Oryctolagus cuniculus: one gene and its partner. The protein of the gene in region 2 interacts with the protein of the main gene of each other region in a biochemical or structural test. Links are inferred from orthologs where the notes say so. Each region holds a gene or a part of one and is shown on either strand. Other genes may lie near its edges.

Region 1 (3,500 bases), on a different chromosome or scaffold from region 2:
CACATACTACAGTATGGATAAACTCTGAAGACATCATTATGTTAAGTAAAATAAGTCAGTCACAAAACATCAAATACTGCATGATTTCATTTATATAACATACTCAGAGTATGGTGCCCCCCACCTGCAGTTTGTTTTTGTTACCCAAAGTCAACCACAGTCCAAAATACTAATATTTGTCTTAACTCCTCAAGAAAACCAAATGTACATAACTTTCATTGCAGTGCATTGTTAAGATGACTCTCTTGCTGGCGCCACGGCTCACTAGGCTAATCCTCCACCTGCGGCGCCGGAACCCCAGGTTCTAATCCCGGTTGGGGCACCAGATTCTGTCCCAGTTGCTCCTCTTCCAGTCCAGCTCTCTGCTGTGGCCCGGGAAGGCAGTGGAGGATGGCTCAAGTGCTTGGGCCCTGCACCCGCATGGGAGACCAGTAGGAAGCATCTGGCTCCCAGCTTCGGATCAGCGCAGCGCACTGGCCGTAGCAGCCATTTGAGGGGTGAACCAACAGAAAAAGGAAGACCTTTCTCTCTGCCTCTCTCTCTGTCTACCTCTGCCTGTCAAAAAAAAAAAAAATTTTTTAAACCTTATCATAGATATGTACATATTGTTAAAAAGTGTATACATTGGCATTGTGACACAGTAGGTTAAGCCTCCACCTGTGAGCTTGAGCCCCTGCACCCGTGTGGGAGGCTCAGAAGAGGCTGCTGGCTCCTGGCTTCTGATTGGCCCAGCTTCGGATGGCCCAGCTCCAGCCACTGTGGCCATTTAGGGAGTGAATCAACGGACGGAAGACTTTTCTGTCTGTCCCTATCACTGGCTGTAACTCTCTCAAATAAGTAAAATTAAAAAAAAAAAAGAAGAAGAAGAAGAAAGAAAAGTATATATATATATGGAGCTCAGTAGTTTCAGGCACCCCCTGGGGTCTTGTAATATATCCCTCACAGACTCACAGATGAGGAAAGACTATTGTACTCCATTCACAGACAGAAAGGGGAATGTTGGTCTAATGGGGAATTATTATTTACTGGGTACAGTGTTTCATTTGGGGAAGATGAAAAAAGTCCTGGAGAAGGATGGCAATGATGGTTGCACCATAATGTGAATATACTTAATGCCAGTAAAGAACACACTTAATGCATATTTTACCACAACTTTTAAAAAATAAGCTACAGGAGCTGGTGCAGTGGCATAGTGGCCTAAGCCTCTGCCTGCTGCGCTGGCATCCCATATGGGTGCCGGTTTGAGCCCCGGCTGCTCCATTTCTGATACAACTCCCTACTAATGTGCCTGGGAAAGCAGCAGAGGATGGCCCAAGTCCTTGGGCCCCTGCACCCACATGAGAGACCCAGAAGAAACTCCTGGCTCCTGGATTTGGATCAGCTCAGCTCTGGCCATTGTGGCCATTTGCAGAGTGAACCAGCGGATGGAAGACCCCTCTCTCTACCTATCTCAGTAACTCTGCCTTTCAAATAAATAAAGTAAGTCTTTATAAAATAAATAAATAAATAAAGTACAGGGACCAGTGTTGTGGCCTAGGGGACTAAGCTTCTGCCTGTGGCACCAGCATTCCATTTGGGCGCTGGTTCAAGTCCCGGCTGCTCAACTTCAGATCCAGCTCTCTGCTATGGTCTGAGAAAGCAGTAGAAGATGGCCCAAGTTCTTGGCCCCTGCACCCATGTGGGAGACCTGGAAGAAGCTCCTGGTTCCTGACTCCTGGCTTTGGATCGGCCCAGCTCCAGCTGTTGCAGCCATTTAAGGAGTAAACCCACAGACAGAAGACCGCTCTTTCTCTCTCTGCTTCTCTGTAACTCTGCCTTTCAAATAAATACAGCGCCAGCCCCTAAATAAATAAATAAATAAATCTTTAAAAAATAAAATTAAGGTACAAACTTGAAATCAGTCTCATTATCTTACTCTGCAGGTCAAAGGAACTGTGAAGATCTGCCTTGCTTGCATTCTTTTGAAAAATAATTCCTTTCCAAATCCTTCTGGGTATAAGTCAAAGGAACAGACTCCCTACTGTCCTCTCACTTTATTTTAAATCTTAGGTCTACTAAGCCATCTTTCAAGAAGCCTACAGTGTGTGTTTCCTTCAGAGCAACAGTCCTTAGTCATTTTAGCACTGCAGATGCTTTTGAAAAATCTGATAAAAGCCACTGACCACAGTTCCTCACCTGAGAGGAATCAAGCTGCTGCATCTAGCTCATATTTGAAGTCCTGAAAGGTCTGAATTTTGAGAGGAACAAAGAATCATACATAACTGAAATATAGGCAGAGCAGGTTTGCAGGTAAGTCAAGCTGAGAGGTCTTGAAAACATCCCATCCTACTCCCCTGGGCCTCAGGGCTGTCAGCACACTCAGCAAGCCCAGGCTGAATCTACCTGAACACCTGGACAGAACAAGAAGGCCCCAGGACCTCCCACAAGCTTACCTCATGCTAGGAATGGCGTGGTAGCCCAGTCGGAAGCGGAGTTTGCTGGACCCAAAATCTGCAATCACCTTTTCCCCTACAGTGTGCATATGCTTGAGGAGTTCAAGGTGTTCCCTGGTCACAGCCTTCAGACTGGAAATGGAGGCCCATGGTAAGACCAGCCAGTGGTAACGGGCCTTCGGATATTTATCCTTAATCACTACCACCTGCTCATCTTTGTAGACCTAGCAGAGAGGCACAAGAGAAGAAAACAGACATCTACTGAGAATTATCTGTGTACCAGGTGCTGTCATATTCATTAAGTCACCTAATTCCCACCACTGTCTTGTACAAAATGTTTTGTAGCCCAACTTTGACAGATGAGAGCACTGAGACTCACAGAGATCCAGTGTCTTTTACAACACACATAGTTACTAGGTAGGAAATTTAGGATTCTAACCCAGAACAAGAATCTGTGGGCGAGGGGCTGCCACTGTGGCATAGTGGGTAAAGCCACTGTCTATGATGCCAGCAACCCATTTGGGCGCTGGTTCAAGTCTCAGTTGTTCCACTTCCAATCCAGCTCCTGCTAATGGCCTGGGCAAAACAGTGGAAGATGGCCCAAGTACTTGGGCCCCTGCACCCACATGGGAGATCTGGATTGATTGATTGATTTATACATACACACACACATATACATATATATACATATATACACACACACATATCCTGGGTGTATGTGTGTGTATACACACACATATATATACACATATATATGTGCAGATAGATAGATCTGTGAAGGGAAGCACCAGCATTATGGCAGAGTGGGTTATGCCACTACTTACAACACCAGCAGCCCAAATCAAGTGTGAGTTCAAGTCCCAATTGCTCTGCTTCCCATCCAGCTCCCTTCTAATGTGCCTGTAAAAGCAGCAAAGAATGGCCCAAGTGCTTGGGCCACTGCCACTCATGTGGGAGACCTGGGTAAAGTTCTGGTCCCCTGGCTTAAGCCTGGACCAGCCCTGGCCAATATAGCCATTTGGAGTGAACCAGCAGATGAAGGATCTCTTTCTCTCTCTCCCCCTCTCT
Region 2 (3,108 bases):
GGAGGGGCTGGGGGCCTGGACCCTGGGTCTGAGGGAGGAGGGGCTGGGGCCTGGACCCTGGGTCTGAGGGAGGAGGGGCTGGGGTTGGGCCCTGGGTCTGAGGGAGGAGGGGCTGGGGGCCTGGACCCCGGGTCTGAGGGAGGAGGGGCTGAGGTCGGCACCCCTGGGTCTGAGGGAGGAGAGGCTGGGGCCTGGACCCCGGGTCTGAGGGAGGAGGGGCTGAGGTCTGGACCCCTGGGTCTGAGGGAGGAGGGCTGGGGGCCTGCACTCCTAGGTCTGAGGGAGGAGGGGCTGGGACCAGGGCCCTGGGTCTGAGAAGAGGGGCTGGAGGTTTAGCCCAGTGGTGCTGACTGTATCTCGACTTCGGCTTCCACAGTGCCAGCTCCCAGCCGTACCCCGGCCGCGGCCCCCGTCCCTGCTGCAGCACAGGGGGCAGTGGTGGGGAAGCCGCGGGATGAAGGTGAAGGCGCCGAGCCCAGGGCCCCCCGAGCCGGCCCCCAGGAGCTGGGGAAGATCCTTCAAGGGGTGGTGGTGGTGCTGAGTGGCTTCCAGAACCCCTTCCGCTCGGAGCTGCGGGACAAGGCCCTGGAGCTGGGGGCCAAGTACCGGCCAGACTGGACCCCGGACAGCACCCATCTCATGTAGGCCAGGCCGCCTCCTGCCCGTGTCCCGCCCTTCCCCCCACCCCCGCCCTGCTCTGCTCCTCTGCCTCGCTCGCACGCACGCTCTCACTGTCTGTCTGTAGCTTCCATCTCTGATGTCTGTATCTCTCCCGTGGTTTCCCATCTCTGTCTCTGTGTCGCCCACATTTCTCTCACTGTCTCTTTCTCCCTCCCTCCTTGCCTCTCGCGTCCCCCCCCTCGCCTTTCCCCCTCGGCTCACACCTAACAGACCCCTCCACTCTACCCCTGCAGCTGTGCCTTTGCCAACACCCCCAAGTACAGCCAGGTCCTGGGCCTCGGAGGCCGCATCGTGCGTAAAGAGTGGGTACTAGACTGTCACCGCATGCGGCGGCGGCTGCCCTCCCGGAGGTGAGACCCCCATGTGCACACACATGCTCTCCTCCCCTTCCTGGGAAGTGCCCGGACCCGGGGGGAAGTCAGCTGGGAACACAGGCAGAGGGCAGGCAGAGGCCGGGGAGCTCCACCTGCGGGGTGGTCACCGAGGGCAAAGGGAACCACAGTGCTGGCTGGAGGAGCCGCGTGGGAGGGTGGGGCGCCGGGGCCTGTTGGTGTCACTCAGAGTGCGTGGGAGTTTTTATTTGAGAAGCAGAGAGAGGGAGAGACAGAGAGCTCCCATCCCACTGTTTATTTCTGGGCTGGGCCAGGCCAAAGTCCAGGGCGGCGAACTCCAGCCAGGGCTCCCAGGTGTGTGGCGGGGACCCAAGTGTTGGTGCCGTCACCTGCTGCCTCCCAGGGCGCACACTGCAGGAGCTGGCGTCACAGGAGGCGCAGGTGTACCACCAGTGTCTTTTAATTTTTTTTTTAAATATTTTATTTCTTTATTTGAAAGGTAGCGTTATAGATAATGAGAGAGAGAGAGAGACACAGAGAGAGGTCTTCCATCCACTGGTTCACTTCCCAAATGGCTGCAATGGCCGGAGCTGACCTGATTCGAAGCCAGGAGCTTCTTCCAGGTCTCCCACGTGGGTGCAGGGGCCCAAGGACTTGGGCCATCTTCTGCTGCTTTCCCAGGCCACAGCAGAGAGCTGGATTGGAAGAAAAGAAGCCGGGACTTGAACCATTGTCCACATTGGATGCCGGCACTGCAGGCAGAGGATTAACCTTTTGCGCCCCTACCTAGTGTCTTAACCTCTGCAAAACAGCGCCCTGCACTTTACATTTCAAGAAAAACAAGCCGGCGCCGTGGCTCAACAGGCTAATCCTCCACCTTGCGGCGCCGGCACACCGGGTTCTAGTCCCGGTTGGGGCGCCGGATTCTGTCCCGGTTGCCCCTCTTCCAGGCCAGCTCTCTGCTATGGCCAGGGAGTGCAGTGGAGGATGGCCCAGGTGCTTGGGCCCTGCACCCCATGGGAGACCAGGAAAAGCACCTGGCTCCTGGCTCCTGCCATCGGATCAGCGCGGTGCGCCGGCTGCAGCGGCGGCCATTGGAGGGTGAACCAACGGCAAAGGAAGACCTTTCTCTCTCTCTCTCTCTCACTGTCCACTCTGCCTGTCAAAAATAAAAAAAAAAAAAAAAAAAAAAAAAAAGAAAAACAACTGCTCGAAGGGTGACTCCTGGTGGGTGGCTCCCCTTGTTTCAATCACAAATTGGGCTTTTAAACACTTCGAGGGACAAGTGTTTGATGGCTGCATCCCATGTCGAAGTGCCTGGGTCATGTCCTGGCTGCTGCACTTGCCATCCGGCTTCCTGCTGATGCCCCCTGGGAGCACAGATGATGGTCAGGTAGCTGGGCCCCTGCCATTGACATAGGAGACCCAGATTGAGTTCTGGGTCCCTGGCTTTGCACGTGGACCAGCCCTGGCTGGTGTGGGCATTTGGGGAGCTGACCAGCAATGGAAGATCCCTCCCTCTCTCAAATAAAATGAAAATAAATCTTAAAACTCTTAAAATCTTTGCATACAAAGCACCGGGAAGAAAAAGGTCCAGTCAGCTGCTCCCGGGAGCCTCTTGTCGCAATGAGCAGGACTTCCCTGAGCAGTGGCCACCAGCTTGGGAACCACCCAGGCCTGTGGCAGGCTCTTCCTGTGTGACCCAGGAGGCCGCCCGCCTGTTGTCTGCTGCCGCCTGCTTTGGCCATCTCTCAGTGCCCCGGCTTCCTCACCTCTAAAGTGGAGCTGGAAATGATGCCCGCTGAGGGCCAGGGATGACCCCACGTTTGTCACACGCTGAACACACTGCCACAGGCCGGCGGGTGCCGCGGGTGTGAGCCCGCGCCCTGGGAGCCGGGAGCTCGGCGTGAACACACTGCCACAGGCCGGCGGGTGCCGCGGGTGTGAGCCCGCGCCCTGGGAGCCGGGAGCTCGGCGTGAACACACTGCCACAGGCCGGCGGGTGCCGCGGGTGTGAGCCCGCGCCCTGGGAGCCGGGAGCTCGGCGTGGGTCTTTGAAGTGTCTTTGCTGGCAGGAGTCCTCAGGAGAAGCCGA

What was found.
Region 1: the proteins of XRCC1 (region 2) and APTX form a complex in vitro, tested with the Homo sapiens proteins (2 studies listed by BioGRID). The link is inferred for Oryctolagus cuniculus from reciprocal best matches to the Homo sapiens genes XRCC1 and APTX.

What each region holds. Positions count from the first base shown.
Region 1 is NC_091432.1:196,396,194-196,399,693, forward strand, and holds part of APTX (aprataxin), read right to left. Parts: intron 2,657-3,500; coding exon 2,433-2,656; intron 1-2,432. UniProt on the Homo sapiens protein: DNA-binding protein involved in single-strand DNA break repair, double-strand DNA break repair and base excision repair.
Region 2 is NC_091449.1:12,347,082-12,350,189, forward strand, and holds part of XRCC1 (DNA repair protein XRCC1), read left to right. Parts: intron 1-376; coding exon 377-641; intron 642-914; coding exon 915-1,031; intron 1,032-3,108. UniProt on the Homo sapiens protein: Scaffold protein involved in DNA single-strand break repair by mediating the assembly of DNA break repair protein complexes. Negatively regulates ADP-ribosyltransferase activity of PARP1 during base-excision repair in order to prevent excessive PARP1 activity.